Linked DNA regions of Danio rerio. The protein of the gene in region 2 interacts with the protein of the main gene of each other region in a biochemical or structural test. Links are inferred from orthologs where the notes say so. Each region holds a gene or a part of one and is shown on either strand. Other genes may lie near its edges.

Region 1 (5,506 bases), on a different chromosome or scaffold from region 2:
TTCATCCTTACCTGACTGGTCATTGAGCAAATGCATTTTCTTAGTCAACCTTGAAGCAGTAGTAGTCAATAATTTTCAGTGCAGATTTCAATGGCATTTTTATTTTACAATACATGGGGATGAGCAGGAGAATGAATGTGACCCTGTTGTGACATCCCTCAAACATTATTTTCCAACAGCGCAAGGACAGCACATCCTCTAATTCAAGCAGAGCAGAAGTCTCATTGCTTTTTAAATGTGAGATTTGAGAAGTCAGGACTTACGATACATCGAGTGCACCTCCTCAATTTCTTCGGCTGTCTGGTTCTTTGTAGTGATGATTACCTGGGAAACACGTATAATAAGGGGGGAAAGAGATGTTATTATTATAATTATAAAAAATAACTAAAAATAAAAATCTAAAAAGCTGTTTCAAAGTCACAGCACTTATAAAAAGCTGAAATATCCCAAAAACAAAACAAAAAACAAAAAAAGAAATAAGTATCTGATGAATATCTTGTTGGTGGCTGACAAAAAGAGCATTACCAAAAAAAGTTGTCACAAGAAAGTTCTACCATAAATGCATGGATGGAAATTACAATGGAAATTTATAAAAATAGAGCAAATTACTATATTTGTTCATCAGAAAATGGAACATTTTTTTTCATTCTTGGACAAATGGACCAATTATGAAACATCCCATAGACCTGATCTCATAATTTATATTATTTCATTAAACTAAATCATGTTATAGTCTCATATAAATTAACAAAAATGTTTACACAAAAATGAAAATTATATATTTAATCACCCTTGTGTTGCTTCTTTCTTTTGCAGTCATTAAAAATATTTGGGACATGCAATAAATGCTGTAAATGTATCCAAATAGCACAGCCTATAATATCTAAAAAGCCATTTAGATTCAATAACAAAAATATTGTATACATAATACAATTATAACCTAAATGTGTGTAATCAGATGAAATGTTTGTGCAAGCAATTCTATTAAAATGGTTAACTGATTGACAGCCCTAATACAGTATTTATCATTTAGAAACGACAATCCATAGTAGTACATACAGGTTTCCGTTTACTGTCCAGCTGATTCTTTAGTCGCTCATTGGCTTCAACTTCTTTGGCGATTTCTTCAGCTGTTAAACAAAAAAACATTTAAAATAAAGATAAATACAACCAACATTTTTGAAGCAAACTTAATAACCAACAGGTGAAGGATTCCACATATACAGTATCTATTCTAGGTCACAAACTAAATGTGTTGCACAAATCATTACCGCCAGTGAACACAGAATGTGAACTCCAAAATAATTCTGAAAATCACGACAATCAGCTTTTACATCAACTGATTACATCCAATGCAGTGCAATTTACTAATTCACTCAATGGTACATGACAAAACAGTGGGGAAAAATACAATCCAAACATAAGTTCAGTCTTCAAACAGAAACCATAGCAACATCGGGTGATAGAAAGAAAAATAGATGGTTTCCTGTGAACCCTTTGACAGCTCAATGAAAAGAGAGAAATTCCGTTCTGAAAGGGTCAGTGAGAAGGAGAGCAGTAACTCAAAAGAAACGTGAAGAATAAAACTACTGTATTTTTCTTTTCCCCCAGTGTGACTCCAGCACGTAAATTACAATACACCACCTACACTAGCTGGACTGAGTGTAAATTCCCAGTTAACACTTTAAGCAATATAGTATTGACAACAAACATTTTACAGTCATTAATGGTCATGTCAGAACATTTACTTGATTAAATCATAAGCATGCACTTTATTACCTACAGTATATACCATTATTCATTAAATTGTTTGTTCCTTCATGGATTGATTTATACCTGATTTAGGGTTGAGTGCATCACACTGGGCATTATAGATGTGCGTGAATTCTTGATGGCGTCTCGTGAGTTGCTCTCTGTTGCCTTGAGCAGAAAGATGGCATTCTTTAAGCATCTTCTTGAGCTTTGGCACAGTTATCAAAGTGTACAACAGCTTGGGCATTGCCTTTCGTCTTCCACTGCTGATACACAACAACACACAGAATTCCAGGGTCACTTCAAGAGCAAAAATAAAGAATAGTTCAACCCTCCCCAAAAAAAGAAAAGAAATACCTTTATATATTGAAGTTAAAGTCAAAATTCTTGGCCCAAGTGCTTAAAGTATTTCCCAAGTGCTGTTTAAAGGAGGGAAGCATGTTTTTTTCAGCATGTTTTTAAACATAACTGTTTTAATTTCTTTGGTCTTTGCCATGACGATAAAGCTGCAGTATATTGGAAAAATCAGATATTGTGATATTTCAGATGATTTTAAAAGCTCTCTTTGGGAAGATTTTATTTAGCTTTTTACCAACTGGGATGATCAAGTCTTTTTCTATGCAGTGCATCAGTATAAATTATAATAAAAAGGATTCTGCAGGTTTTAGCAAGTTTAATTTAAGACTTTAAAACATCTTTAAGACCATTCATTCATTTATTCATTTTCTTTTTGGCTTAGTCACTTTAATAATCTGGGGCTGCCACAGCAGAATGAACTGCCAACTTATTCAGCATATGTTTTACGCAGCGGATGCCATTCCAGCCGCAACCTATCACTAGGAAACATCCATACACACACATTCTCACTCATACACTACGGCCAATTTGGCCGCAATTCACCTGTATCACATGACTTTGGACTTGTGGGGGAAACCAGAGCACCTGGTGGAAACCCACACAAATATGGGTAGAACATACAAACTACACACAGAAATGCCAATTGACCCAGCTGAGGCTCGAACCAGCGACCGTCTCGCTTTGAGGTTACAGCTCTACCCACAGCTTCGCCTCATTTTTAAGACTAATAAGAATAAAAATGTAAAATTTGCCCTATCACACTTTTTTATAATTTATTAGTACAAAATTAATGTTTAATAATAAATTAAAAATGAAAGCAAAATATTTCATGGTGTCAAAACAAGAAACCTCTAGTTGTATACATAAATTTTTTTTTCAAAATTATCTTACTTTAAAATAAAAAAATTAAAAAAGTTCGAAAGATTTTAAAAACTATAATAAACTAAATGCATGCACAACAGTCCGTCCAGGTCAACTTTCTCAGCAGGAAATACATGAAAAATTTAAACAAGTGTTATTGTAAGGAAAATAATTCAACCATTATGGAAGTAAAAAATTACACTCTTAAAAAGTTAAAGTTTTATTGAGATGGTGTGTTATGGGTTGGGTGTTGGCCTGATTGGGTAGCTATACATGCACAAAATAAAACCTGTTTAAAAAAAAATTGCAAGACCTACAGCACAATATTTCAGTAAAGTTAAGACTTTTTAAGGCCTAAAATTTAGTTTTTGAGATTTAAGACATTTGAGGACTTTAAGACCCTGCAGACACCCTGAATATATTACAAACATATAGAGCAAAAATAAAAAAATAAAAAAATAAATAAATAAAACTGGGGGGTGTAACAGTATTCAAGTACTGAAATTGAACAATCATATGTAAATTAACATGGTAAACGTTTCATAAATAATTAAATACAAATATTTAATACTATATTTATCTTTTAATCTTTAATAAATAATCTAATCATGCAATGTGACTATTACAAACACGCACATTGCGATATCGATGCTTAAACAATATGTTGTTCAGCCCTACAACAGTACATACTATTTTTCAACTTATTATGCAAGATGCTAGTAACTTAACATGTACACGTGTGTTAATGTTTACAACAGATTTATGACAATTCACGTTGTCTTGGTAATGTCAAGTTGACATGATAAATACAAAAACAGGTTGTGATGCATTTGTTTATCAAGTTGTAATAAAACAATGTCATGACCTAACTGAGAAAATAACACTTGAACACTAAAAAAAAACAATAATTGTCATAAGGATGCATATAATCTCATTCACATTCATGACATGTTATGTCATAATTATAAAGGTGTCTTACGAACACCCCTTAAAGTAAAGTGTTGCTGAAAAGTAAATCTTTGTCATGAAAAAAAAAATATTATATTTTATTCAAACTGAAGGATCTGAATTTATTCAATCTTTGAACAAGGCAGATAATTGAGGCATTTTCAATATCTATTGCACATTAAATTAAGACAATCGAGGCTGTTCATTATAATGCTACCCATAAGATTAAGAGGTTATGAAGGCTATAAATGTTAGATAATTACATTTATTCTGCAAAATATTAACTATCAATGTTCTTCAATTAATACAGTCCATTAGCCAAACTGCAGGTCATCGAAGAAAAGCAGCAACTTGGAACATTATTACTGAACAGAACTGAAGTATACGCAAAAGTGTTGTATCAGCTGTTTTCAGGGAATCCAATTAAAACATATTGTGAGAACTCAACTCGTTTCATACCATGCATTTTTGCCCACTCTTTAATACAACTGTTGCACCACTAGCAATTTAGATCGAGGGTGACTTTAGGTCATAGCACAAATTTTCAATTGCGTTCGAGTCTGTGTCTAGAATACAAATGACTAATTTATAGTTATGCTGTGTAGTTTGTGAAGCAATTGTGCTGGAAAGTAACTCATATCTCTGGCAGAGTGAAACAGGTTCTCCACAAGGATTTGCATGCATTTGGTTTAATCCATGCTGGCCTTGATGCCAACAAACTTTTCAGTTTTACCATCTGAAAAAGAAATCCTCCCAACATAACACTGTCAACGTGGAAGAGTAGGTGTTATCTGGTGGATTGCATTCTGTGGAAAACACAGTGCTTTGCTTTCAGGTCAAAGAACAGAGCTCTTGTCTTACAGAACACTACATTTACTACAGAAATGTTCTGTCACATGACTTCCACAAAACTTAATGCTGGTCCTTTTCAGAAATGGCTTCATTTTAAAAACACTGTCCCGGATAGGTAAGGAGACAGCTGACCTACCATCCAAATAAACCCAAGAGATGCTTTTGCATGAAAATCCCAGTAGATCAGCAGTTTCTGAGATACTCAGACCAGCCTGCCTGGAAAAACAACCATGCCACGTTCAAAGTCACTTAAAACACCTTTCTTCCCCATTCTGATGCTAGGGTTGAACTGCAGCCGATCATCTTGATCATGTCTACATGCCTAAATGCATTGAGTTGCTGGCATGTGATTGGCTGATTAGAAATTTGCATTAACGAGCAGTTGGACAAGTGTACCTAATAAAGTGGACGGTGAGTGCAGATTATATTAAGGTATTACCATATATTTCTACACGTTCCAAACAAATATGTTCTCGTTTTAAATACATGGAACATCATTTAAATATTCGGTCCCACTTTATATTAAGTGGCCTTAACTAATATGTACTTACACAAGAATTAATAGTTTGTTACAATGTACTTATTGTGTAAATACATGCATTTATTGTGTACTTATGCTTGATTAAATACATGTAATTACATCTGTAATTAACTTTTGTAATTACATCAGTAAATACACTATTGACCATGCCTTACACCTTAACCGACCCTTAAACCTATCCACACCACCAAACCT
Region 2 (5,968 bases):
CTTGCTATGGGATATTTAGCTAATTTGAATGCCACCTTTGATATACAGTATATCAGGATGATAAGCTATAATTGAACAACTTTTTTCAGTGCAGCAGTTGAAAAATAATTCCTCACTTGGTCTTTGCGTCTGTGTATGTTTGTAGGCTCATTGTGTCAGTTTTAAAGTGGTAAAAATGAAGAATAAATCTCAAAATTTTAAAGAGCCTTGCCAAGGACATCGTGAGAAAGGACACAGTTGGATAATCATTCTGGGAAAGTAAAAGCCCAATATGTGACTTTAAAGCCAATATGTAATGAGATTTTTACCTGATAAATGTGTCATCATCATTTTATTGCTATGCTTTTCTTTTGTCAATGCCAAATCTTTCGTTTTAATCTGCATTGGATTTTTACAGAAGTAGGTTATATTTCTTTTCCATTGACTTGTTGACTGTTTAACACCTTTTCCCTAATTGTCTTTCTCAAGTACTAATTTGTAATTACAATTACAATTTGTAACAACTTGTATACTGTGAATGTTGTTTCCTTCCGCAAGAATGATTTTGTTTCATATCACTTCTTGATAAGTGTATCTTTTAAAAATAAAGTATTGTCCATACAAGCTTGTCTTTTTTTTATTTAATGTGTCTGACGATTTTAGTTAATTTATATATTAAAATATGTTTAAATAAAGTTTCTGGTTACTTTGCTTAAAATAAATTATAAAAATAACTTATAATAATATATATAACAATATACAATATCTATATCATTTTTATCATCATTATTATTTTTATTATTAGGGTGACACTGTGGCTCAGTGGTTAGCACTGTTGCCTTACAGAAAGAAGGTCACTGGTTCGAGTCCTGACTGGGCCAGTTGGCATTTCTGTGTGAAGTTTGCATGTTCTCCCTGTGTTGGCGTGAGTTTCCTTCGGCTGCTCCGGTTTAAGTGAATTGAATAATAAATTGGCCCTGGTTTATGTGTGTGCTTGTGAGAGTGTATGGCTGTTTCCCAGTACTGGGTTGCAACTAGAAGGGCATCCGCTGTGTAAAACATGTGCTAGATGAATTTGCGCTTCATTCCACTGTTGCGACCACAGATTAATAAAAGGGAATAAGCCAAAAATAAAATGAATGAATGAATGTAGTAGTACGGATAACAATGTAACAAATAAATACATGTCTAAATATAATTGATACATGATAAAATTAATCAAAGCAAATAAGTAATAAATCATAAAATAAATCAATTAAATACGTAATAAATAAAAGTCATTATGTTAATAGAAAAAATTATAAATCTAAATTTCTTTGTAAAACAATAATTACTTATAAGAAAAAATAAATATGAAGGGAAAATATGTATTAGTATTAGTAGTATTTAGAAATCATAAAAATATTATTATTATTATTATTAAATAAATTGTCATTTTATTATTATTAATATTATTATTATTAGTGACATCAAGAAACTGCATATTATATAGACTACAGGAAAAGACAATAGTTCTTACAATATCAACACTAGATGAACAGTATTAAGAGCAAAACCAAAAATTAAGTAGATAAAAATAATAATAATAATGCAATAAAAAGATAAAAAATCAAGCATGAAAGATTTCATCATGTTTACGCAAAAAAGAAGTACATTTCTTATTATCAATCAATCTAATTGAATTTATTAAATGTTCTATTTCACATAAGAAGTCTGTAAGAGTTTGTGTTTTTTTAACGAAACCTCTGTTTGTGAAAGTAAAATTTCCTAGCAAGTATAGAATGAAAATTTATAGTGGCTTTCAACGACTTGTTTTGATTTTCGAAATTAACAAATACCATCCTTGAGGTGCAAATTACAACTCATTTTAACATCGGAAAAGTAATATGAACTTAAGCTACTGTACAATACCAATACAATGATGATACATTGTATGAAATAACAAGTGACAAATGTCTTCACACTCATTTTTACAAATGGTGCAATTATCAGTAAACTAAAAAAATAATAATATTCAAAGGATTTCTGTATTGACGACCGCCGCCATTCTCTCTCTCTCTCTCTCTCTCTCTCTCTCTCTCTCTCTCTCTCTCTTTTGGCGGGTGAGTAAACCTTGAGGGATTTTTATTATTATTGCACAAACCATGAGGAACATACATACAAAACAATATAAAAGGTGTTCATAAAAAAAACGAATATAACAATGTTACAAAATAAACGAATGTAAATAAAAATAAATATATTGTTTTCGATACAAAAAACAGTTCGATACAAAAAATCGATACAAAAAAAACAATTAATGTGAGAGATGACTTAGCATTTTTTTGTTTGTGTATGCGATATGTTATCAATAAATAATAAAGAGATTATTAACAATGTTTACAAGACTTTTGTTGAGTTTGTTTTACCGCCACCAGTCGGTCCTGATTGGTTCATGTGACAATGACGTAGAATGACTGCTGGCGCCGAAAATAGACGTGTGGTTTCAAAACACTCGCGCCACTCACTGGCGTCACGAAAGCGAGACTTGTATTCAGAATTAGATAACTGACCTACAATAAACCCGTGAACGCAGCGATATTCATCGCCCATGCAGTATTTACAGTTGGCCTCATTTACAGTCAGATATTACTGAAAAGGACTCTTTGCTCGAGAGGTGGGTGTGGCCTGCAGCTCATCATTTTAACTTAATCCACGATAACAGCTTTGCTTGGCATTCTAGCTGAATGGAGACGTTTTACTGTGAATTATATGTAAAGTTAAGTAACTGGTATCTTGATTCTGCTTTATGGTACATTGGCTTTGCTCTTTAATTGTTTGTTGTCTGTTGCTTTTGTTGTTAGGACGTGGTTCAGTGAAGTTTGGTGTTTATGTTGTGATTTGCAGACATGCAGTCATCAAGCAGCTCAACAGCCTCCAGCAGCACCCCGCCAAGATACGGTGATAAAAACACAAATATCTACATATGAGAATATTAATTTATCATATCAGTGGTCCCAACTATATGCTAAATTACATTAATTAACGTTACACTGAAAAACTTTTCCCATTATGTTTGAACAGAAGTTTAATATACGTTTTCTTGTTTGTCATCCACCATTAGCTTTCATAGATTTTATGGACGTGGGCAGCACAATGACCTTATCACAAGAACTTGCCAATTTAACAGAAGATGCAGGACAGGAGCTGGAGGCAGAGGGGAATGTTCTGTTTGGTTCAATTCAAGGCTTAATTGTTGGTTTGCGATACTACACTGGAGCGGTATGAATTGTTGCATTTTACAATAAATCAAAGCATATTTGGTTGCGGTTAAGTTGGTTTTATATTTGTACATTTGTTCATTTTTAAGCAGTGAAAACTTAACGCTTTGAATATTCGGTCTGAAATATCATGCAAGAATGACTTCAAAACAGCACCATTTAACTGACTGTCAACAGTGGACTTTAATAGTCATTGGCTGCTAATATAATTTCCCTGTTAAGAATTTGCAAAGAATAGTTTTCTGAAATTATATTACTGAGAAGAAAGTTCGAATGTACAAATATAAAACCAACTTTACCTCAATGCAGATTTGTGTGTCCAGATATCTGTACAAAAAAACAAAAACACTGATATATTTAATAATCCCACTACCATGAAATTATACAGTATTTGATAATAGGCTTTTAATAGGATTATCACTTTACATGTTTACATGTAATCATTTTATTACAAGTTATTTACAAGTTATTATATTATTGTTATTATTATGTTAACACCATTTTGTCTGGTTCTGTCTATAAAGCAAATATTCCACTTTTTAAATGTATTTATTTGTTCTTGGACAATTCCTGCTTGCAAGAATTTTGGGTAGTTGTTACAATAGAACTGCACAATATGTCGCTTCAGCAACGATATCGCAATGTGCACATCCGCAATAGTCACATCGCAATATATACAATTTTGAGTCTGAATTATAGTTGACCAAGAGCTACAGAATTGTATTTAATTACTGTATTTATAAGTAATTTATGCAAAAAAGAAAAAAAATTTCTCACTTAGAATTTTTGTCTTGTTTCTTGTTTTCCAAATTATCCACATTTTAAAGCAAGAAAATAAGATTGTTTTATTCACCTCAATGGTTTCAATGGCAGATAATTGTCTTGTTTTGAGGAAGAACTCATTATTTCTTCTGAAGTTGAAAACAAAACAATATTATTTACTTAATTTAAATATTTTTAGATATTTGGACTAGAAATGAGACAAAGCAAATTAAGAAAAGCATTTTTTTTGCATTTTGATTGTTTAATTTCTGTACCTGAATAATGCTAGACTCCCCAGAAAATATTCATATCGCAATATTTATTGCAAAAAAAAAGAAAATTGCAATATCAGATTTTTCTAATATTGTGCAGCCCTACTTTACAATAAGATTCCATGAGTTAGCAATAATTATAATTAATATAATTATTTTTGATAGTGTATCAGTCTATTTTAACATTAACCACACAATCTGCAAGTGGAAACAGAAAAAAAAAACATATATTAAAATGATAGTTCACCCAAAAATAAACATTTCCTCACCCTTTTCTTTTACTTAGGTGGTTTTAAGAATTTGTACATTTCTTCTGATGAACACAAATTAAGATTTAAGAACGTTGAAAAAAAGGCAGCCACTTACATCCATAATAGAATCAAAGCATTCTATGAAAGTTAATAAGTGTTCAGTGTATCTTTTCTATTAAACAGAAGAAACTCAAACAAGCTATGGAACAAGTGAAGTTGAGTAAATGATGACAGAATTAATTTCTGGGTGAACTTTCCTGTTAATCTGAGAACATTTTGTAACCTTTTCATAACATGATTTTTTTCTTAAAATTTGACTATTAATTCATCTATAAAAGGGTTGGCATCGAGCTAAGTACATCTTGTGTCAGGTTCCCCTTGCATAAAGTTACAACGATTGATAAAACAAAATCAGAATTATATGTTGCAGCACAACATGGCTTTATTTACATATCAAATTTATTCTCCCGACATCTGAACCTGCTCAATATCTCTTACCCCTTCATCAACTGAGAGAAACAAGTGATCTATGTAGTACCCCATCTCACCATGCAGTATAGAGTGCCCTCTAGGGGTAAAATAAAAACATAGAATCTAATATGACTGATTATGTTTCAAAAAAAAAATATTTGATTGTGACACATGCCGTAGGTCAATAAAGGAGAGATGGTATCCTTGGTGAGAGAGCCGCACAATCCCTATGACCGAAATGCAGTGATGGTTGCCAATGTGTATGGCAGTCAGGTGGGGCACATCAAGAAAGAGCTGGCAGCTGCAATGGCCTACATTATGGACAACAAACTGGCCAGGGTGGAGGGGTACTGTGCTGTTTTTTTATTTTATTTTTTACACACGTTTAAAGCAATTTCTCAAGTTTATTTAAAATGTTTTTTAATAAATGAATTAAATAAATGGACTTTTTGTAATTCAATTGCAACAGCTTCTTTTATATTTGATCTTTTAATAGGATTGTGCCCTACGGAGAGAAAAATAAGTTCTCTATGCCAGTGATTCTCACCTTTTGGGGTAAAGAGGAGAACAGGGAGGTTGTGAATAATCTGATGATAGGCTTTGGTTTCAATCTGGACTTCAGAGGTTCATTCAGTAGTTTATTTGTTGGTTATTGCTCTTTGTTGAACACTTTATGTTTGTGCTATTGACCTTTTTTTTGTTCTTGCAGGAGGTTCTTCACAAACATCTCTGGGAAGAGATCTTCTTGGATTATCCACAAAACTATCTGCCATTCCTTTGTCTGCTGAAGAGGTACATTTTTTGTGACACATTTCTTTTAGTCATAAAAAGCTAATACATTTTTTTATGTTTTAGAATGGTAAAATATAGATAAGTGGTTCTCAGCTTTCTTTCTTTCTTTCTTTCTTTCTTTCTTTCTTTCTTTCTTTCTTTCAAATACTGACATAGTACCAGCAAAAATGTTTAAATAATC

Evidence for each region.
Region 1: the proteins of hltf (region 2) and rad18 form a complex in vitro, tested with the Homo sapiens proteins (2 studies listed by BioGRID). The link is inferred for Danio rerio from reciprocal best matches to the Homo sapiens genes HLTF and RAD18.

The regions. Positions count from the first base shown.
Region 1 is NC_133181.1:44,379,601-44,385,106, reverse strand, and holds part of rad18 (E3 ubiquitin-protein ligase RAD18), read right to left. Parts: intron 2,019-5,506; coding exon 1,837-2,018; intron 1,131-1,836; coding exon 1,060-1,130; intron 325-1,059; coding exon 264-324; intron 1-263. UniProt on the Homo sapiens protein: E3 ubiquitin-protein ligase involved in postreplication repair of UV-damaged DNA. Postreplication repair functions in gap-filling of a daughter strand on replication of damaged DNA.
Region 2 is NC_133177.1:28,292,186-28,298,153, reverse strand, and holds the start of hltf (helicase-like transcription factor), read left to right. Parts: upstream 1-2,480; 5' UTR 2,481-2,635; intron 2,636-2,822; exon of another isoform or gene 2,823-2,865; 5' UTR 2,866-2,867; coding exon 2,868-2,919; intron 2,920-3,082; coding exon 3,083-3,240; intron 3,241-5,175; coding exon 5,176-5,342; intron 5,343-5,491; coding exon 5,492-5,619; intron 5,620-5,704; coding exon 5,705-5,787; intron 5,788-5,968. UniProt on the Homo sapiens protein: Has both helicase and E3 ubiquitin ligase activities. Possesses intrinsic ATP-dependent nucleosome-remodeling activity; This activity may be required for transcriptional activation or repression of specific target promoters.